3 linked regions of the Elephas maximus indicus genome follow. The main gene of each other region encodes a partner of the protein of the gene in region 3 in a complex. Links are inferred from orthologs where the notes say so. Each region holds a gene or a part of one and is shown on either strand. Other genes may lie near its edges.

The links.
Region 1: NUP205 (region 3) and NUP188 share a complex: the UniProt entries of both Homo sapiens proteins name them as parts of the nuclear pore complex. The link is inferred for Elephas maximus indicus from reciprocal best matches to the Homo sapiens genes NUP205 and NUP188.
Region 2: NUP205 (region 3) and NUP93 share a complex: the UniProt entries of both Homo sapiens proteins name them as parts of the nuclear pore complex. The link is inferred for Elephas maximus indicus from reciprocal best matches to the Homo sapiens genes NUP205 and NUP93.

Annotation. Positions count from the first base shown.
Region 1 is NC_064827.1:79,928,667-79,936,069, forward strand, and holds the start of NUP188 (nucleoporin NUP188), read left to right. Parts: upstream 1-4,390; 5' UTR 4,391-4,437; coding exon 4,438-4,469; intron 4,470-7,403. Other genes in the region: PHYHD1 (phytanoyl-CoA dioxygenase domain-containing protein 1), read left to right, coding at 22-67; DOLK (dolichol kinase), read right to left, coding at 2,406-4,022. UniProt on the Homo sapiens protein: Component of the nuclear pore complex (NPC), a complex required for the trafficking across the nuclear envelope. Required for proper protein transport into the nucleus.
Region 2 is NC_064839.1:23,667,226-23,674,770, reverse strand, and holds the start of NUP93 (nuclear pore complex protein Nup93), read right to left. Parts: upstream 3,004-7,545; 5' UTR 2,863-3,003; intron 1-2,862. UniProt on the Homo sapiens protein: Plays a role in the nuclear pore complex (NPC) assembly and/or maintenance. May anchor nucleoporins, but not NUP153 and TPR, to the NPC. During renal development, regulates podocyte migration and proliferation through SMAD4 signaling.
Region 3 is NC_064826.1:14,293,047-14,301,020, reverse strand, and holds the start of NUP205 (nuclear pore complex protein Nup205), read left to right. Parts: upstream 1-4,946; 5' UTR 4,947-5,008; coding exon 5,009-5,036; intron 5,037-7,974. UniProt on the Homo sapiens protein: Plays a role in the nuclear pore complex (NPC) assembly and/or maintenance. May anchor NUP62 and other nucleoporins, but not NUP153 and TPR, to the NPC.

The sequences.
Region 1 (7,403 bases), on a different chromosome or scaffold from region 3:
CATCTCCTTTGTGCTCTGCAGGCTCCAGCCAACAGCTGAGCTGCCCTTTCCACCACTGTACACCTGATGGCCCTCAGCAGGACTGGGGCACTGCCCCTCCCAGGGGAGGCTGCAAACAGTGACAGCATGCCAGGCTGCCTCTCCTGACCTCCCGGCTGCAATGGCGAAGTCGATTCTTTCCTGGGCTTTCCTCTGCTAGTGTCTGTTCCCTGAGCCCAGCAGGCAGCAGGCAAGAGGTGAGGGTGGCAGGAGCAGCAGGGGCTAGATGTGAGGCGTCCCCAAGATCTTGTCTCCCTGCCCTCTCCCTGCCCCAACATATCCTCCTCCTCGAGGTGGCCTCTCAGCATGAAAGTGCTCTGGCCACCTCTCTGCTGGCTTATCTTCTGTCCTCTGAGGTGCAACTCTGATTTGTACTGTATGAGACACTAAATAAAAACAACTTCCAAATGCGGATTCTTGGTCCTTTTCTCCCAGTCAGCCCTGATCTCAAGATGAGCTTGGGAATGAATGTTTGGCAGGTACCCAGACCCTCTGTGGGCACAACTTCCAAATCCAAATCCTGCTTAGCTGGAAGGTCCCTGCAGACTTAGGTCTGGCCCAGAGGTCACACACTGGGGCCACAGGACGAAGCCACTGCAGATGTGTTTTGCTTGGACTTCAGTGTTTTAAAAATGCTTTTAAAAATTGGGAAATTTCACATAAAAATCCAGGCTTTTAAGCTTTTTTGATGAGCAGAAGGTGATAACACAGGACCCACATACTAACATGGCTACCACTGGCTGGAGCTGCCTCTTTAGAGGTATGTGTGCTTTTGGGTCCGGCACGGTTCCCACTTTCCCATCCTCATTCATGTCTGTTACCTGGCTGACATTGGTGAGCAAGTTTGTGACCCTGATTTAGTGTAGCCCCCCACTCTATACATGGACCAACCAAGGCCAGAGGAAAAAGCCCTCTCCCAAGACCACCCAGGGAATCAGTGGGGCAAAGCTGATGCTGCCTCCATTTGGCAGGCAGTAGAAGGGAGCCTGAAGGAAGGGACAGATTTGTTAAGTCTCCTTTGTGCCCTAAAGGAATGTCTTGGTACCCTCCTCTGAGGGAAAGGACTTGGCAGTGATTCTCAGGCAGAAGTGCAAGCTCCCCCAGAGCTGGTCCTGGCTCTGCTCCTGGCTTCTGGCCTTGTTGGACCAAAGTTCTCATCTCTTTGTGCTAGGCCTTTCCCTACCAGATTGGACGTTCAGCCTCATGAAATGTGCTGTGCTATCTTCCTGCTGATAGGAAACTTTTATCCATTCAGCGAATGCCGACCAAGTTCCTGCTTACGTGCCAGGCTCTCTGCGTGGGACACAAGGCTGCGGTGTAGGCTCCTTGCTCGGGCAGAGTTCCAGAGTAGAGCCATTCTGAACTCCCAGGAAACTCCTCCAGCCCCTCTGAACCTGTCCTAACCAGAACCCAGTGCTGTCGAGTCAATTCCGGCTCATAGCGAGCCTATAGGACAGAGTAGAACTGCCCCATAAGGCTTTAATATGCTGCCAAGGGAAGAGACAAAGACAGGTTTGATGTGACTGGAGTGTGAGAGGGTCTCAGGAGGGACCCCTTGACAAGATCCTGTGCTGTCCAGCTCAGCAGCACCACTCGGCCAGGCCGCAGAGGCCTTGGAGGGCGGGGGTGGGGGAGGAGGTTGGCTGAAACAAAATATCAGTGCAGGACCTGATCCTCTTCTTCATACACACAACAAGCTGACCCTACCTCCCCCCTTCAGTTCTTCCTACCCCAAATGAAACAGGGAAGTAAAAGTAAAGATCGCTCGGGTCTCCAAGTACAACTGATAAAGCCCCCTTGGCTCGCATGGCTTTTTTGCTACGATGAACCTGGTCTCAGGTTATAATGACACTTTCCCGCACTGATTGCTCATCGTGCCCTGGACTGGACACTTTACATATCTCATCTCACTGGATCCTCACAACACCCCCATGAGATATGCGCTGTTAATTCTCATCTTGCAGACAGGAGAACTGAGTCCACACAGTTAAGTGCCACAACCAAGGATTCTAACCAGATTAGTCTGACACCAGAACCTGAAGCATTAACCCCTATGCTCTACTTCCTCCCTCCAGTGTCCACTCCTGCCCCTTCTGAGGACTGCTAGGTGTGTGTGTGTGGAGGGAGGGGGTCTGCAGCACACTCGAATTCTTTGAGCTGCTGCACTATTCTTTGTTTTTTTTTTTTTTTTAACATTAGCAAAACTAAAACCAAGAAAGCTTTGATTTTTATTTTAAATTTGAACCACCCAAAAGTCCAATCTTCTTTTCACCCCTTGGCTCTTCATACCCAAGTGGCTGGCTGCTGTGGGGGCCATTCACACTCCCCATGTTCCTGTCTCCTCCATCACTACTGCTGCACAACAACTAGGCCATCAGCAATATCAGGAGGTAGAGAGGCAAAAGGAGATTGTCTATCTGTGTGGTGTACGCTTCTAGGAGGGACACAGTACTGATGGACCCCAAAATCCAAGCATAATTGTAGTTTAGGTCCACTTCACTGTCAAAGATTAAGATCAGAGCTACAGAAATGATCTGGGCAAATATAGACGTCATGGTCCCCTCGAAAGTCTTTTTAGTTCCAGGCCAGTGGATCTCTCCCATGGCGCTGCCAAAGACAGAGGCCACAGTATCGCCTACACCCACAGCCAGGACGCCAGCGTAAGGGACTAGGGCCCTTGCTCCCCCGAAGCTACCCTTCTGTGTACAGGGTCTGGGGACCAGCCAAATGGGAAGAGACACGCCCAGGAGCAGGTAGATGTGGGTCAGGATGAGTGGTCCACTGTCTCGTTCATCCAGGAAGAGGGACAGGAGGTTCCGCAGAGTGTGGCCCAGGGGCTTGATGCGGAAGTAGCGCACATACTCCAAGAAGATGAAGACTGCCAGGCATACAGTGGCGGCCACATAGAGCAGTGGCCGGTCAAAGATGATACCTGGGATGTAGGTGGCTACCACAATGAAGTGGAAATACTTCCGGGCGATGGTGGGGGCCTGGTGCTTCTTGGATTCAGAAGATGACCGCTTTGCATTCTGGTACAGCACTACCAGGCAGGCCAAGGTGGCCAGCAGAGACCAATAGGCTAGGAGGTAGATGCGGGTATCTGTTTGGAAGAGGAAATGAAGGAGCCAGAGCAAGGGATTCCTGCGGATGAGTCGATGCAGCCAGGGCAGGACCACACCAAGGCCCAGCACGCAGGTCATGAGGTGGAAGAAGATGGAGGAGGCCCAGGTGCCTGAGTCCATGAAGGCAAAGAGGGTGCTGAAGAGGATACCCATGAGCACCATCCCTACCACCACTACCAACAAGAAGAAGTCCACTGGGTCCCCCTGGTTTTCCACCACTGTCAGAGAGCGCTTGATAAGCTGGTTGAGCACAAAGCTGATGCCACCTAATACCAGCACTGCCTCTCCAGGGGTGAAGCAGCGGGGCAGCAGGTACAGCAGGATCATGTTGAGGTACACGAAGATTAGCAGGACCTCTAGGACCTCAATCACCTCACCCACACTAAGCGAGTGCTTCATGATGTAAATGATGCCACCTCCAGCCAAGCCCGAGATGACGCAAGTGTTGGTGGGCACGGGGCGAGTGATGCCCAGCGCCAACACTGACGAGAAGAGGGCCACTGCCATGCCAGTGGCTGCTACGACGATACCAAAACGTTCAAAGTGTGGGTTCCCTGCAGCCTGGCAGCGTTCCTTCATGACCAGTCCGAGCAAAGGCATGACCATGGAGGCAGGCAGTAGTCCACTGTTGGCAGACATTCGGAACTGGAAGACGGCGCCTCCTTGCTGGAGCAGCCGGTCCCACTTGTATTGGACGTAGAAGGCCTGCACTGCGAGGGCCACAGCGCACCACGAGTATCGGTCCCACACGGTTACGTGAATGCTCAGCACCATGGCGAACACCACTGCCGCCTCTGCCAGGACCGAACCGCTCAGCGGAGCTCCCGCCCCCGGGGTCGGAGGAGCGCTATCTCGGGTCATGTCTCCAGGCTTGAGGCCCCCGGAAAGCCGGGGTGACTAGGGACGCCTTGGACTCTTGGTCCCTCAGCACCGCCAAGCAAAGGACAACGGTTTCACCCAGCCAGTAACCTTCTCCCTCCGTTTTCCAGTTGTAAGGACAGAACTCCACTGCAGGTCACTCTCTGCGGCCTGAAAGCTGGAGTCCCGTCACTCTCCACCGCCTCCAATTTACGGAGTAGACACCGTCTCTCGGCCGCCTTCCTCACGACCGCGGACACCCTGGCCGCTGGTTCTCCGCTTCCCCGGGTATCGCCATCTTGGCCCCGCCCCGTACCGGACTCACGTGACGGAAGCTCCGCCCCACGCGTCAGGTACCAGGCGAGCGGTCACGTGGGCGCCGCGTCTGGGGGCGGGGCTGGGGCGCGCGCGCGGGAAGATGGCGGCGGCCGCCGGCGAGCCGTGTGTGAGGTGCGGAGCGGGCCAAGTTGTCGGGGTTGGCTGTGAGGCGCGGGCTCGAAACTAAGCAGAAGCGGGGCGGGAATTGGGAGCGGGATGTGGCGGCGGTGGCGGTGCGAAGCCCGGCTGGGTAGACGGCGCCGAGACGGGAAGCGGTTACGTGCAAACGGTCCCCGCGCGCGGGGAGCTGAAGGGACTTCTCCAAGCGGAGGGCCGGTTCCTCACCTTATCCCTCAGTTCTGGGCTTCCCGTCTCCTCACCCAAGTCCTTTTCTCTTCTTCCCCTCTTCCCGTCCGTGTGTCCTTTGGAGCCCCACTAGCGCTTCCTCGTCTGGCTGTGACGCTACCTCGAGGCGCAACGGGCGCTTTGCGGTCGCCTGGAGGACCCTCTCCTTCCCTCCCCCTCCCCCCACGTCCCCGCCGCAGCCCCCCGGTGACCTGTCCCGGGCCTTCCCTGCCTCTCAGGTTCTCCTCATGTGCTCTCTTGTTGCACAGAGCCACCTCCTTGTAGTTTTTGTCCTCATTCTCCGCTCAGCCTTTCATCCACCCATCTATTCATTATTTTACTCATTGATTCGGTCAGCCGATGTGTTCAAATCTCCCAAGAGATTTCAGGCACTGTTCTAGGCTTTGGGAGCAAGAAGACGAAACGCTAAAAAGAATAATACAGTTTTCAATATAGAGGGTTTGCTCTTGCCAGACACTGGTGAGATCCTTTTGAATTCTCACAGCTCTTGTGAGGTACCCTTTACAGATGAGTCAGAAGTCCCGCTCTGCTAGCTAAGGGGTAAAGTGAGGGAGGATTCAAATCCGAGTCTGTTCGACTCCAGAACTGTAATGAAACCTTCACACCCCTGTCTTCCACATTCCACCTTGAAGAGGTTTCGTCCATTCTACTCCCTCCCACCTTCCCTAGTCAAAGTAGTTATGGCGCTTATATTCCCAGTGCCAACAATGTTTTCCCCACTTTTTTGTCGTATTCCCCACTGTATCCTCCGTACCCAGGAATAGCATGTAATTAAAAAAAAAAAAAGCCATTAGTATTTATTACAAATATTGTCCGTTTTCTCTGGCATCACTTTAATTTCCCAGCTGAAAGTGAGATTTTTCTCCTCTGGAATTTTCCCTGGACTACCTCTGTACCTTGTGAGGACCAGTTTGCTTTTTTCTCCTCTGTCGTTTCATGCCAACCATTGTATCAGGACAGCATTGTAGCCACTGTGCCCTCCTTTTCTTAGGGTTGTTTCATAGTCGTTATGGCTCCTGTAGAATAAAGCATGTTCCTTAATGAAAAGGAACATTAGGAAAGCATTGGTTTGCCTGAAAGATGACTTGTTCATGCTGGGGAACCTACCAAACTCATCCTAAGGAGGAAGAAAGGGCATTAGAGTTCTTAGGCACTGCTTTGCTCATGGCTTGTATCAGGAGAGTGATTTTTTTGTGTGTGTGTGCCAAAAGTCACATTCAGTAGCAGATGGAATTATACTGAGCAGCAGTCCTCTGTCTGAAATGCCTGTAGGTCTGGACTAAGAGAAAACTTAATTCTCTTCCTGATGCCTCAGATTTGCAGATGACTGCAGACAAGCGACCTCACCATTTTGAACCTGTCTCTCCAAATGCAGATCATTTCCAGAGTAGTATTGAAGTGGCTGTGAGGCTTTTTTTTTTTTTTGTAGGAAAAGTCATTGTGAATGTTAATACAAGCTGGCATTAGTTTAAAAAAAAAAAAAAAAAAGGAATACTACCCTTAAATCAATCTTTTGGAAAGGTCACTCAGGAATTGGCAGAAAGTTTGAATATTGGCACTTTTCTTGTAACTCCTGCGTTCTTCAGTTAAAGTGTTTGAATTAGTCTGAATGGTGTAGGTGTGCTAAACAAAAATAGAACTGCAATTTGGAAAGCTTTTGCTGCTGAGCTTAAATCTCAGTTCACACAAGAGAGGTATACTTCCTCTGTGAAGTTAGAGCGTCCACGGGCAGTGGTAGCTTTTATTTATTAAATATCTCATCAAGGTAGCTTGGCTGTGTCCCAGCTTTCTATCCAAAGGACTGAATTGTAGAAACAGTTATTTCTAACTCCCAGTAGCCTTCACTCATAGCTTTCCAATGAGATGGATGACTAAAGAAGATAATTTTCAGGCTCCATTAACTTCAGCTCTTGTAGGAATGACGTTCCATGTTTGCTGGAACACTGGACTGGAAATAGTGAAGTTTTTAAAACTTTACCTTTGAATTTGAGGCAAATTATTTAATCTGTGCCTTAGTGTCTCCCCCACATACTTCGCTGAAAGGAGTATTATGCATGTAAATGAGAGACATTAGCACATAGTTTCTTGGAAATATATATAGAAGCTATTTCCCCGAGTCTTGGGTGGGCTTCACAGTTCTAAGTTTCAGTCAAGCCTTTAGGTCCCAATTTGAGATGAAGCCTTTTGTCAATCACTGAATCAGTCCCCAGCAATCCCTCTCTCTTCTGACTTTTCTGTTCTATGTGGTTAAGTTTCTTTGTATTAGTTGTTAGTATCATGCCGTTTAGTACTTTCTTCCTTTTTGCCGATTGTGTAATGTGTATTTAATATCCTTTGCCGTTCTCATCCCTTAAGCTTAGCATCATAAAGGTCTTAGATTTATTTGTATCCCCATTATTCCTAGGCCAGTGAGTATGTAGGTATTGAGGAAACCAGTTAGACTTACTTCCATAGATTTTGTTCCTGATAACTCTACCATTTTCTCCTTTATTCTCCCTTCTGTTGGTACTTCTGCATATATTGTTTTTCTTGATTTTTCTGTTCCAGTTAGATTGCAAGCCTAAAAGGGACCCATATCATTCCCTTTCTTTGATGTTTATTCTTTCAAATATCTGTGCCAGCTACTACGTTAAGGGTATGGTCCGCTATTGTAGAACACCTCAGTTGACATCTTTGCTTGCTGGCAGCATGAATTCTTGG
Region 2 (7,545 bases), on a different chromosome or scaffold from region 3:
AAGCCAACCCTTATCTCTTTCGCCCCTACACTGATCCTCTCGCTCTTCTCCTGGATCACCTCAACAGTCTAGGTCTTCTCGTTCCTCCAATTCATCCTCCCCATGGCCAGAGAGAGTTTTCTGAAATACTCCCCAGGAAATACCTTCCATCCACTACAGGAGGAAGTACTCACCCTCTGCCATAGCTATTCAGGGTGCCCTCCATAGAACAGACACTGCCACCCTTATCATATTCACCTATTATTGCCCTCCCCCAACTCTACACTCCAGGAACTCTCTATTTCTTGGAGTTCCTCATGCTGTTTCCTCTGTCCCCATGCCAGGTGCACACTCACAGTGCCATCCCCACCCTGTCCACATAAGGAGGCTATGTGTCCTGTAAAGCCAGCTGGGGCAGCCCCGCTCATCCCAGCCCCCTCCCACACTATTCTGCATTTTCTATCGCTGCTCCTCCCTAGTGAAGTAGTTGTGATTACTTCTGTCTCCCTCACTGGGTGGCGAATTCCTGTAGGGTAAGGTCCATGGACTGCTCAACTCTAAATCCTCAGCAGTTGATAAGCTTGGCAACTAACAGGCACCAAATAAATGTCTGCAGAATTAAAAGTGACCTGTTTCCTGAACACACCCTGCCCCCCCACCCCCAGCACATCTCTCTTTCCCTCTACCTTATTTTCTGCCTCAGCCTATCAGGACGCAGATTCAGATATTCAAGTTCTTCACATCCCCAACTTGTTCCCACCTCAGGGTCTTTGATTTTGCTGTTCCCCCTGCCAGGAATGCTCTTGCCCTAGATATTCCTATGACTTGCACTCTCATTTCAGGCAGGTCCCTATTCAAATAATCTGTCCTCATTTATAAAATGCCCGACACCACATTCTATATTTGTGTTTTTTTTGTCAGTGGCCTCTCTAGGACCATCCGCTCAATGACAGCAGGTCTGTCTCATTCACCACTGTATCCCCAAGCCTATAACAGTGCCAAGCACAGTCATTTCTTCCATATTTACTAAGCATCTACTGTGTGCCAGGCCTAGGTGCTTGGGATATGTAAGGGAAAAAAACAGATAAAAATCCCTTCCCTCCAGGAGCTCACATTCTAGAGGGGGAAGACAAACAATACACACAATAAATATGTAAAATATAACTCCTAAGAAGAAAAACTAAAGCAGTTAAGGAAGACAGGAAGTGGGAAAAGCCTCATTAGGCGACCCTTCAGTAAAGTTCTAAAAGAAGTAAGTGAGCAAGTCACATGAATATTGAACTGCAAGTGCAAAGGCCCTGAGGCTAAAGCATGTCTGACTCCTGTAAGGGAAGGGTTGGGGAGGGTAGAAGAAAACGAGATCAGAAAACTGTCAGTGGGTCAGGCTGTGTAAAGCTTTAGGGCTCACAGTAAGGAGTCTGTGTTTTATTATTAATGAAATGGGGACCTATTCAAGGGTTTTTTGAGTAGAGAAGTGATATGATCTGGCCTGCTTTACAAGGATCCCTCTTGCCGCTGTGCTGAAAATGGAGGCCAGGGTAGAAGCAGGGAGACCAGTTGGGAGGCTATTCCAATAATCCAGGTGACAGGTGGCAGTGACTTAGCCCAGGATGGCAGGCATTGGACATAGAGTGAGACAGAAGAGCAATCAAAGATGACTCTAAGGGTATTGGCCAGAGCAGCTAAAGGATGCACTTGGCTTTTATTTCACTGAGATAAAAAGAGCAAGAGGAGCAATCTGGAGAGGGAGATGGAGGGGAGCTTTCGAGCGCCATTTTGGCAGATTCAGTTTGAGCTCCCCATCATCCATTTCAGTAGACATCAAGCAGGCAGCTAGATAAAGGCCTGGGAGAGGCCCAGGCTGGAGGTATAAATCCGAGCTGTTAGCTTAATATATAGGTATTTAAAGGTATAAGTCTGGATGAGTTCACCATGAGTGAAAGATGAAAGCATCACAAACACAAAAGCACAAAGAAGAATGGTGGAAAGAAACAAAGAAGAAAAGCTACAAGCCTGAAAAACCTCTCCCCCCAAATCTGGTCTGCGGTCAGTATTAGAAGACAGAATACAAAAGGTGACCCTTGCTTGTGCGGAAAGACCTTGGCCAAAACAAACAAAAAACAAAACCTCCTTCCTACACCTGGCTGAAGGGCAAATCCGAACCAATCGGCTCTGTCAAGGTATCCTTCAAACTTTGACTAAAGACCCCTGGCGTCGGCCCCATAATTTTTTAAAAGGAATCCAGTAAAACTCAGGCATCGCCTCTGCAGAAGATGGGATGCTGTAAGCCCAGAAAAAGGATGGATCACCCCCGAATTCCAATCATAAGCAATTCCCCGAATGGGGAGAAACATCCCCCTGAACGTCTGTTCAGAAGGAAGGGCAAGGGATGGGAGAGGCTTACAGGGTGGTCTCCCCCCTACCCAAAGGCTCCTTCCTTCAGAAGGCAATGCTTCCCAAGAGGGTGTATCCCCGGGGAGCCAGCGAGCCGGCAGGGCTCGGTCAGTGGAGGAATCAGGAAGGATGTTGCAGTGGGAAGGGGGCGCCGATCCAGCCAAGGGTGGGCCCGTAGGGCAAGGGGTGGGGGCGTGGTGCGCCGCGGCGACTGCTATAACGGGGGAGAGGGAGATCAGGAGGCTAAGGCTCTGTACTCAAGAAGAGGGCAAATAAAAGGCATTCCAGGGGCGCAACCCTACGCTATAATGGGGGGCGGTTCGACAGGGCGTTATGTCACCAGCGTCAGGCGTGCCTGGCTGCCACGAGGAGAACGGGAAGTGTGAACGGCACAGCTCCGAGCGTGGGGACGGAGCTCCGCCCAGGCGCAAAATCCGGGGTTCAAGGACAAGCCCCAGGTCGGAAGGACGTGCACAGAAGCGACCTTACCTGGCGCCGTAGCCGTCTCCCCCGCTCAGGTCCGGGTTTGAGAGCGCGGCCGCCGCTTCTCGCGCCGCTCACCTGCGCTTCCTGATTGGCCGAGGCTGGACGCTCCCAGAAACCCCTGCGAGGCGCGCCACCGAAGGAACTTTATGGAGACCCGCGGAGAAGGACAGGAACATGGGTGGGGCCGGGGGCGGGGATGGGGCGGGGCCTTGGGCGGGGTCTGAGGCTGCGCTGTCACTCCCGACACACCCGCGGCCACCGCCCTTACCCTCCCACGTGGTTAGAATCCGCTCTGCTGGGAGAACGCGATTCCACAATTGGCCTGCGCGGATTTCTCGCCCCTTATTAAGCGCCATCCAAGTACCAGGGACTATTCTAGGCGCTGGAGACACAGCGACGACCACGACAGACAAAACCCCTGCCCTAGTGGAGCTCTCAGGCTGGTGAGGGAAACATAATATAAGTAAATAAATAATAAATGACTGAACATTGTCAGAAGGACTATGAAGAAAGAAGAGCGACCGGAGAGAGTGCCTGGATGGCCAAGGAAGGCCTCTCTGAGGAGGTGACATTTGAGGCGAAGCATGAATGATGACAAAGGGTCAGCCTTGCACAGTCTTGGCTGCAGCATTTCAAGCAGAGGGACAAGAGTGAAGGCTCGGAGGGGGAACAAGCTTGGCGTTTGAGGAATAGAAAGGGGTGTATGGCTGGAAAACGGTGACTGAAGGCAGATGGGGTAAGACTCACAGTAGGCTGGGCCAGACTTGCAGGTCCTTTCCACCATGGCAAAAAAAGTTCAATTTCTTCTTCATGCAATGGGAAGTCTAAGTCTTTTCGTTGCTCCAACCCATCCGTCCCGTGGCTGGAGAGGCCTTTCTGAAATTCTCCTCTGCTTTGAGCCTTTTTTTTTTGAGCCCATCAGGCAGAGGGTCAGCTCAGATGTCACCGTCCAGCCACAACAGGAGGAAGTACTCATCCTTTGACATAGCTATACAGGTGCTCTCTATAGAATGGGCACAGCCACACTTATTCTCATCTGTTATTGCCCTTTAACCAACTCTATTACATTTTTTCATGAAGTGTAATTTACAATAAAATGCACCTGTTTTAAGAGCACACTTAGATTCATTTGAACAAATGTGTCTTTGTAGCCATTGCGCCAAGATATAAAACATTTTCATCATCCTAAAAAATTTCCTCAGATCCCTTTGCAGTCAATCTCATTTCCAACCCCCCCCCCAAAAAAAACCTGGGAAACCACTGATTTGCTTTCTATCATTAGTTTTGCCTGTTCTAGAATTTCATGTAAATAGAATCATACCATATCTTTTGTGTCTGGCTTCTTTAGCTCAGTTGATACCTGTATCACTAATTCCTTTTTATTACCAAGTAGTATTCATTGTATAGATACACCGTGTATTATTTATCCATTCATCTATGAGTCGGAATCTACTCGATGGCAATGGGTTTGGTTATTTTGTTTTTATTGATAGATGTCTGAGTTATTTCCAGTTTATGGCTATTATGAATAAGCTTCTATGAACATTTTTGTACAAGTTTTTGTACGAATGTATATTTCCATGTCTCTTAGATAAGTATCTAGCAGTGGAATTTCTGGGTCATATGGTGCCCTGATTAAGCGTTCAGCTGCTAACCAAAAGTTTGGCAGTTCAAATCCACCAGCTGCTCCTTGGAAACCCTATGTGGCAGCTCTGCTCTGTTCTATAGGGTCACTATGAGTTGGAATTGACTTGACGGCAACAGGTTTGGTTATTTTGATGTTTGTGGTAAATATGTGTTTAACTTTATTAAAAACTGTCAAATTATTTTCTAAAGTGGTTGCACCAGTTTGCATTCCCACCAGCAAGGTGAGCTCCAGTTGCTCTACATCTTCGCTAACACTTGATATTGTTAGTTTGTTTTGGAGTTTTTATTTTTGAGCCATCCTAATAGGTGTGTAGGGTATCTCAGTGCAGTTTAAATTTTTTATTTCCCTGAAAACTAATGATGGTGAGAAAATGGCTACATTTTAAAATTGACAACACCAGTCACGGAGGCGGCACGTGGAGCAACAGAAACCATCAGGTACTGCTGAGGGCTTGTCAGTGGGTACACCCACCTTGGAAAATGGCTCCATCTATTAAAGCTAAATATATATGCTCTGTTGTTTTGGGGTGCCACTGAGTCAATTTTCTACTCGTAGTGACCCATAGGGTTTTCTAGGCTGTAATCTTTACAGAAGCAGATCTCCGAGTCTTTCTCCCATGGAGCCTCACAATGGGTTGAAACCGCTGCAGCTTACAGTTTGCACCCAAGCACTTAACCATTGTACCACCAGGGCTCCTTTACATGTACATACTCTACAAAACAACAATTCTATGTACATATCTGTCTATCTCCAGCATAAATGTGTGCATATTCTCACCGGAAGTCATGTATAACAACATTCATGGCACCATAATTTGTACTAGGCTGAAAGTACAACCTAAATGTCCCTTAACAGAAGAGCGGACATGCAAATTATGCTGTGGTCATGTAACAAATGCAGTAAGAAAAAGAATGAACTACATCCACAAAAAGCAACTTAAAGGAACCTCACGGACATACTGGTAAGCAAAAGTAAAAAAAAAAAAAAAAACCAGTGCCGTGGAGTCGATTCCAACTCATAGCAAAAGTAGCCAGACACAAAAGTATAACTCCATTTATATAAAGTTCAAGTCAGGCCAAACTAATCTATGGTGACAGATGTCAGAATAGTGGTTATTTTGAAGGGGGAAGGAAGGAGCTATAGACTGGAAAGAAGAATGAAGGAATCCGAGGTCTGTTAATGTGTTATTTCTTATCTGGAAGCCAAGTGCCAATTTTTTTTAAAATTCACTAAGCTGCACGTTTAAGATTTTGTGCACTTTACTACGTATATATTATTCATTATATTACAATAAAAAGTTAAAAATAATGTAAAACGTCCCCTTTACTGTGGAATATTACATTTTTTACTACTCAAAATTCACATCACTGTCCCTCCCCCTACTGTCTGTAGTTTTGAACCTCATTGAACTACTGTGGTAGTCCCCCACAATACCCAGCACGTGTCACAGGGAAGGAAAGCAAGAAATATTTCTTTTAAGTAACAGAATCAAGCTCCACTGATTGCCTCCCTATCTTGACTGCGCTGCCAGAGGTGAAGTTCTTAGTGGGTGGCAACAAATTACCTAAAGCTTTGTGGTCAGTGGCTGAGTGATGAGCAATGTCCTTTAAAAATCATGAGAAGCTTCAAAGGGAAGCTTCTAACTATGCTTTCAGATGGGTTTAATTTCAGCTGCACAAAAGGCGACTTGACATTATCAGAAATGGCAAATAAGCTTTCTCTTGAACACTAAACCAGTCGCCGTCGAGTTGACTCCAATTCGTGGTGACCCCATGTGTTGCAGATAGGACTGATCCATAGGGTTTTCTGGGCTGTAATCTTGACAGAAGCAGATATCCAGGACTTTCTTTTGCAGCACCACTGAGTGAGTTCAAATCACCAACCTTTCGGTTAGTAGTTGAGCGCAAAGCGTCTGGCTATTCAGGGACCTAGTTCAAGAGCAGGCATAGCTGATCTGTGGTGATAGAGGTGAGGATAATTGTTCCTCAGGAGTAGGTATGACTGGGAAAGAGCTCAAGGGAACTGTCTGGGTTGCCAGAAATAGTCTGTATCTTGATCTGGATGGCAACACAGGTGTGTGCATATATATATATATATATATTTTATATGTGAAGTTTTATTTAGCTGTACACTTAAGGTTTGTGCATTTTACTGGGTGAAATTATTTCTCGATAAAAATATTAACAAACTTAAACTTAAAAAGTGATTCATGCCTGTTATTCTGTTTGAGCCTGGCAACAATCTTGGGGTAGGCAGGGCAGGGCTTATTATCATCATTTATCCCATGGGAAACCTAAGATCTAGGGGGGTTCCGTGACTTACCCAAGGTCACACAGGCAAGAAGTAGTGGCAGACCTGAGCCTACACATTCAAGTCTTCTGACATCTGGGACAGTCTCTCTAGCCCAAGAGAGCCTCAGAGGTGAACTTAGAACCAACCCTACATGAATTATAATGAGGAGCTACCCAACGAAGTCCTTAAGGGAATTTTAGTGCCAACTTTCTGAACTGGGACCGGAACGAATCCCACGCCCTCATTAATCAGCAGCAGCCGGCTATCAGATGACATTGTGAAGGTGGTGGGTTTTTTAAACATCTGGTTATTTCATTTGTTATTAAACATACTGTTGAGTAAAAAAAAATCCTACACATCTTTCCATTGCTGCTGTTTAAAAACAGCTTTGCCAACATCTATCAACTTCATTTACGTCAAATTGTGCAATTTGTCACTGAGGCTGAATTTGCCAAACGAGAAAGGAATTTGATTGACAAGGCTCCAGGGCTTCTCTCTCCTCCTTTTCAATATTCCAGATGTTGAAGAAAGTTGGATCCACCCCCAGGAAAGCTCAGATGTGAGTGAAAAATGTACCAATGGAGCTTCAGGGATATGGTTTCAGTTTCTGTAGAAACTTTGCCTCCAAGAGACCCCATCTTCTTGATTGGTTCAAATTACCCTCCATTTTCAATTGCTGTCTTTCAATGGAACCATCTGTTACCAGGCCCATCTGTCAGGGGCTCTGTTGCAGTCGATTACTAAAT
Region 3 (7,974 bases):
TTATGGGGTTTGCAAATGTTAACAATTTCAGATTCTAAAATAGTTTCACTTTCTACACCATTGTTAACTGTTTTTACTGCAGAAAGGAATAGATGCAGAATGTAGAACAAATTCTGTTATAATCATATTTCTATTAGTATTTTCAGCACTAGTGGTACTAGTACAACAATTTGTACCTGTTAAACTCTAGCGTTCAATGGAAGAAGTTCTTCTGATTCATTGTGTTATAAAGAGGAAGTTAATTTTCAAATTGCCTTTGGAGATTCACAAATCCTTTTTATCTTCTGTGAGCTGTCGTTTTTTGTGCTTCACTTAGTTGTTGCCGTTTCATTTTACTTGGATATAAAATTATGTCACTTTTTAAATTTGGTTCAACTGTGGCAATAAATTCGAAAAATTGAACATAAAATTTATAAAACAAGGGAAACTTATAAGACAAAATTTACATTAGAATTTGGATGTTAACACAAAAATCTATATTTGAAAATTAGTAAGTTAAAAAAAATTTGATTTGGAACATGCAATTTTGTTCTGCAGGTCTGAGACAATTAAAAAAATAGAACTTACAAGGCAGTCAGAAATAATTTCATTAATTTATTGTATGATGCTTGTTGATGGGCCCTACACAGATCTCCATGAGTGTTTTTCATCCTGAAATAATACTTAAACACTTGTGCACTCACTTTTCATCCTTCGATACTGCATCTTCACAGATCATTGGACTACTGCTGATACTCAAGGGGTGTGAGAGCAATTTCAAAGAGCATGATACAAATACAAGGGTTTGCTGAATGTGCAGATACATTTTGGTTCAATTTGCGCAGGACAGGACTAGTATGTCACAAGTTACATGATTATAGTCGCAATGATGCGTTCTTTTGTGTTTGGTGAGCAACAACTGAATGTGAGGTCATACCTGATAGGTCCGAAATGAAAAGGAAAATATAATTGTTATCGTATACAACATTTATAAAATATGCATTTTATTTCTTTGTGGAATCGTTCAACTCCCATATTTGGAGATACATACACACATAACTGATGTAACGATAACAGCACTTCTCGAAAAGCAAGTTTGTTTTGTGAGTCATAACAATGTCAATCGACTTCTGAAAGGAAATGGAAAATAAAATACACTTATATAATTTTTATTATCTAACGTTTCATTTAATTTATTTCCTTGAGGAATTGTTCAATTTCCTTACACAGAGATACATAAATATTCTGATAAAATATAATGTTCTGATAAATGTCCTTTGTTGCTTTCTTGGAGGATGAATTTATAAACAGACTCATTGTTGCAAAACAGAAACATATTATGCATGATAAATATTGAATTTTGCATAATCTTAACTTGCCTGATACTGTGTTCATTAGCACATATACAGCAATATCAAGCACTGTGTTCACACAACAGACAATAAAAAACAAAACTCACTTGACACATAAATTAAAACTTTCCCTGTTAGATAAATATTATTATTTCTAGTATTTTTGGATGTTTGCTATGTTAGTATTACATTAAATTATTGCCCATTAGTATTATATTAAATGTATGCTAAACTGTGTCTGCCTTTATGCCAAACATATTTTAAAGTTATAAATGTTATTGTTTACATTACTTAGGACATAATTCAGTATGTAAATGCTAGACAGTTAAAAAGTAACTTGATTGGATTCATTGCAGTAGTTGACTTATTTGAGTTCCCTCACTTTTGCGAGTCATCTGGGACTGGAGTTCCCATTGGCTGTTTACCAGGACGTGCACAAGACCGTATCCTTGTGTTTGCATCATGGCCAAAATCATTGTCTCCTGGCTGGAGTTGCTGGATCAGCAGATATGGACGGGTGTGACTGGATCTGAGACTTGTTATCTATTAATATAATCCATCCTTGCCCAGTAACCACTCTTGTTGGATCAAGCTGCATATTGGATGAATGTAGCAAGAGTTAGACTTGACGGCCCACCCCACCTCTTATTTATTCGGAAGAAACAGTATACTCACAAGAGACTCACTGAGACAAGGAATTTCGATTACACAGGAAGGGACCGTAGGAGACAGATGTCAACAAAGATGTTGAAGTGGTAGGGGCCTCATAGCTTAAACAACCCTATGTATAGGCACTGTCGTGACCTTGTGTGAACTTTATTTCTGGTTGGCACATTCTCACGCACTGGAATGAGTATCAGTTTCGTTTAGTGCCTTGCCAGTTCTCTTCCTCTGTGGTGCTTGCTTTTCCTTGTGTCTTGTCTTCTTGGCATCTATGGGTCTTTGCTTTGGACAACTGGTGCCCCTGTTTTGTTGACACTCTAAGCACGTGCTTACCTTGGTTATTGGGTAATCCACCCCTGGCTGCAGCGAAGGACTCAGACGTGCTGGCAATGGTAAGGATGATGCAGGACCAGGCAACATTTCATTCTGTTGTATATGAGGTTGCCTTGAGTCGGAGTCAACTCGACAGCAGCTATCTGTCTATTTTAAGATCTGAAAGAGCTTCGTGTATGCAGTTAAATCTCAATTAGGGCAATGAGAGAAGTTATGAATAATCTAAAACCATTGGGAGTGCAAGATTATAGCCTTCTGTCTCTTGGAATGGATCAATTGGACTGTGGCACAGTGCAGCCCCTCGTTGCAGATTAATCACAAATTGTTTAATTGTAGAGCACTCCCAAGGCCTCAGTGCACTCTAACAGCCTGGTTAAACTAGCCCTAAGTAATTGACTACACCTCCATTTCGCACTTATTTTACCATATATATATATATATATATATATATATATATATTGCTGTCAAGTCAATTCCCACTCATAGTCAAGTCAATTCCCACTCATAGCGACCCCACAGGGCAGATTAGACATAGCTTATCCTTATTTAACAAATGCTCATATAGCCTATGTGTCAGGCACATTCTAAGCACTTTACAAATAAGCCTCTCAACAACCCAAGGGCGTAAGTACTATTGTCATCGTCATCCTCTTTGAAAGGTGAGGAAACTGAGGCACTGAGGATTGTTTCACAGCCAAGTGATTGAAACAGGATTTGAACCCCAGAAGCCTGGCTCTAGGGTCTGGTTTCTTAACACTATTCTACATGGCCCCTCTCTTTCTCTCCCAGTAAGTAGATTATGGAGGCGCCAGGAGAGAGGCCCAGACTAGAGATACAAGTACGGATTTATCAGCCAACAGGTAGTACTAAGAAGCCATAGGATCTCCCAGAGAAAGCATGTAGAACAGAGACCAAGGGAGGGACCATGAGGGGAGAGCTACATTTAATGGGTGAAAAAAGGAAGAGCAGCCCATGCAGGAAACGTAAAAGGAAAACTAGAAAGAGGAAAACCTGGACGTGTGATGCTCCACAAGCCAAGACCAGAAAAAACGTTTCTAAGACATTCAGAAAAGTGCACGTGGGATTTGACAGTTGGTCACAGGTGACTTTACTGGGAGCAGTTTTAGAGGGGTGGTGATGGGGGCAATATCCTGATTGCTATGGGTTGAGGCATCCCATGAGAGAACTTGAGTCAGTGTGGTGATGGGTGAGCGTGAGCTGCAGGAAGTTAAATCATTCCTTCACGGAAAGCAAAGCCATCGACCAAGAGGGAAGTATGTGGGCTTAAAGAGTGTGTGTGGGAGGAAGGCTTGTAAGAGTTGTGCTGAGAAAGAAAATCTTGTTTGGACTCTGCTTCCTTCCAAGTTCCCGATCAATTTTCTTCTCACCTTCATGGAGAACTTCATGAAAAATCCCTTCATTCTCTCTTCCTCTCTCTTCCCCTTCATTCCTGAGAATCACTTTCATTGTAGCCTGGCATTTGCCTCTATACTGAAATGGCTTTCAAAAAAACCACCAGTAACTTTTGTGTTTCACCTAGTGTACATTGGACCAGTCTCACTCAATATTATTTGTTCAAAAGAATGAATATACTCAATATTCTCAACAGTATACTCTATGGTTTTATCTGCATTATTTAATTCTAATTCTGACAGTGAACTGGGAATGCAAACCCTATTTCCTCTCAACCTCAGTGAAATATTGGAGTTGATAAAGTGAGACTGTAAGACACATGGAGCATCTTTGAGATAAGCAGCTATAATTTTATCATCCCTCTTATAGGGTTGTGGCAGGAATTAAATGATATAATGCATATACGATTTTTAATATATGCCTGGCATAAGTTGTAATGATTTTTATATTTTAGTTTGATGCAAGTGAATAAACAGGGCCCAGCTATTCTGATGCTTAGGTAAAAAATACTTGGTGTTTCTGAAATATGTCAGGAATTTGCTGCGGAGAGGGGAGAATTGGCCAAGTTTTTGACGTTGGAGGCTCGTTATTTTTATTTTGTATATGTTCAAAACTTTCATAATAAAAAGTTATGATTTGTTTCCCTTTGATTTCTTTCACTCTCTGTAATGTTGACGCAACATGCAAGGAAGAGTTAGTTTTAAATTAAGAGAATTATTTTGAATGCACGGCTTTTATAATATCATAAACAGGCGACATTTTAATAACTAGTCTCAGGATGTCTTTGTCCAGCGTTACGGAGCCCTGGTGGTGCAGTGGTTAAGAGCTTGCCTGCGAACCTAAAGGTCCGCAGTTCCAATCCACCTGAATCCACCAGCCACTCCTAGGAAACCTTATGGGGCAGTTCTACTCTGTCCTATAGGGTCGCTGTGAGTCGGAATCGCCTGGAAAGGAACGGGTATAAACAAATTTCACTTATCACCAGGAAGAAACTACATGTCCCAGGATGCCTAGAGGCTCAAAGTAAGACAGAGGGCCTCGCGTCTCCGAACTGGTTGCCCTCGCCTTACCTGAATGGGATTAATCCCGGTGGAGATTGACGTTTGTGACCCAAAGCAGATTCTCGAGTCTTTCGCCCGCCCAGGCCGACCGAGCGCGCCGTTCGGAGGGGACAGCGTGGAGCTTTTCTGTTCAGGCGCCGCTGCGGGCAGCCTCACCCCGTCGGGGTCCTCCGTGCGGCCCGAGGGCTCCGTTAGTACGCCTCCAAGATGGCGACCCCGTTGGCGGTAAATTCGGGTGAGTGCGGCCAGGGCAGGAGGGAAAGGCCGGGCAGGGCAGGGCGGAGATCGGTTCTTCAGGGAGGAGCTCGGGCTGTGAGGTTCCTCCGAGGCCAGGCCCCCACGCGTGCTCGGTATCCGCCTTTTTCTAGCTTTGGGCCTAGGGTCCCGCTCCTCTCAGGTTTGAATGGCACGCGTTGGCGCGGCGGCTCTGGCCCTTGGGTCGGCGTCCCAGGGCCGAGGCAGTGAGGCTTAGTCCCCTGCAACCGGATGTGCAGTCTCTCCCAGCCCGGGGCCGAGTCTGGTTCCTGCTCCCCCTACCCTATTAGGTATCCTCGGCCCGGGTTTCGCCAAGATAGGCGTCAAATCTCCGGCAGTGAGCCCAAAGGACCTGAGAGATTTTTCAGCCACGAGCGGAAGCTGAAAAACTCGAACCCCAAATCCGTAGGGAGGCACCGGAGCCGCTGACAGGGGAGTCCTATAGGCAGTGAGGACCCTTGATTATGCAGTCTGCGATCCGGAAAGTGGCCGGGCTTGGGTTGCCGCGGGCTTGGCTGATGACTCCCAGCTCTGCGGGCGTGGCCCGGCTCTGGATGCTCCTGTACCTTTGGGGCAGTAGATCTTCGGGGTGGAACAGAATTTAGAAGGTGGCAAAGGAACTCTAAAGAGCACTAGTGACGCAGTGGTTAAAGCGACCGACTGCTAACTGAAAGGACGGCAGTTCGAAACCACCAGCCACTCCGCAGGAGGAAAGTGTGGCAGTCTGAGTCGGAGTGTACTCGGTGGCAGTGGGATTGGAAAGGAGTGCCGGAAGATTTGGGGTGGGGCTTCTTTTGGTGTTTTTCCACCCAGGGCGGTACCTCCCCCAAGGACGTTTCATATTGGGTGCATTTTTGATTGTCACAATTCCTGGGGTGCGATACTGGCGCTTAGTGGGCGGGGCAAGGATGTCAGAAGTCCTGTATGGGCGGGGCTGTCCTGAAAACGTAGGATTTCCCGCTGGGAATGTCAGTAATGCCCCGGTTGAGACGCACTTAGCTTCTTGGTCACAATTAAGAGAATACCTGTGCGATAAATCTTTGTAGAGAATCTCACTCAAGAGCACTCCTTCGTGGGAGCCTTTTGCCTCTAATTATGCAGTGCCTTTTTGGGGGGGAGGAGTGCAGGTTCTACTTTTCACAGAACGGGTACTCCTGAAAAATTGTCTAAATTTGAGTTTTATAAACCAAACCACTTAAAAACACTATGATAAATTATTTTATAATAACGATGGTTTATATTTATTGAGCACCTGTGTCCCAGGCACTGGACTGACTGCTGTACTTGTATTATCTCGTTTAATTCCTCTGAGGCGCCTATGGAGTGGTGGCTTTTAAATACCTCGCTTTACAGACTTGAAAACAGAGGCTTCGAGAGGTTTAGTGACTTCCCCAGGATTTATACAGCTTAGGGGCTTAAATTACTGCACCCCGCCCTCAAAAAAAACCAAACAAACCATTGCCATCCAGTCAATTCCAACTGATAGCAACCCTATAGGACAAAGTAGAACCGTCCCCTAGGGTATCCAAGGAGAGCCTGGTGGATTCGAACTGCCGACCTTTTGGTTAGCAGCTGCAGCACTTAACCACTACGTCGCCATGGTTTCCAAACTATTGCACGCTACTATTTAATCACAACCCAATTCATTTTATTACATCAAATTTTCATATATTTAAATTTTAATAATGAGGTTACGTCCTTAATGTTGCTGTCACGTTTCCTACCAGGTATAAACTTAAAAGCAAGGCTTGTATACTGTGTGTGTGTGGTTATATATATTTCCTTAGTACTTATTCATCCTGAGTTACTATCATTAAACACTGAAGCAGAAAGGAAAAGCAGTTGTCAACAGTTGCAAAGTGTTTATTGTACTTTGTATAATAAAGCCTGTGGCAGAGCTTTTAATTGGCTATGTAGAAAAGAAACATTTTTTTAAAATCTAAGAATCAGGAGAATTTTTTTTTTTTTTTTACAATTGTAGAAGGGGAAAAAATAGATTGTAGAGTCCTAAGACCTGTGTTTGAACTTCACCTGCATGACTTACTAGTTGTTGTTAGTAAGCAACCATTAACAGTACTTGACAGTGCTTCCAGTAATCTGGTCACCTCTGCCCCATTCACAGCAGTGACAGTTTCAGACCTTTTTCACACTCCTCAAATCTTTAACCTCCAGCTGATACCTCAGCCTCAGCCACCTAGTCACAGAGAACATGAGAAGCCAACAGGCACAACCTCTCTTTTTTCACCCTTTGTCACACATACAAACCTAGATATCTCTGTACCCTTTCCAAGCAGTTTCCTCCCCTCCTCCTATTTAAGGCAATATCCCCCTTTTTTGTTATTTTAATTAGTTTTTATTGTCTTTTAAGTGAAAGGTTACAAATCAGGTCAGTCTCTCATGCAAAAATTTACATACACCTTGCTATACACTCCGAATTGCTCTCTCCCTAATGAGATAGCACAGCCCTTCCCTTCACTCTCTCCTGTGACCATTCGGGCAGCTTCTGGCCTCCTCTGCCCTCTCATTTCCCCTCCAGACAGGAGATGCCAACATAGTCTCATGTGTCTACTTGATCCAAGGAGCTTGTTCTTCACCAGTATCATTTTCCATCCCATATTCCAGTCCAATCACCGTCTGAAGAGTTGGCTTTGAGAATGGTTCTTGTCTTGGGCTAACAGAAGGTCTGGGGACTATGGCCTCCAGGGTCCTTCTAGGGCCAGTCTGACCATTAAGTCTAGTCTTTTTACAAGAATTTGGGGTCTGCATCCCACTGTTCTCCTGCTCCCTCAGGGGTTCTCTGTTGTGTTCCCTGTCAGGGCAGTCATTGGTTGTGGCCGGGCACCATCTAGTTCTTCTGGTCTCAGGCTGATGTAAATTCCACTCTTTATGCCCTGCTCCCTGTCTGTTATCCTTCTCTC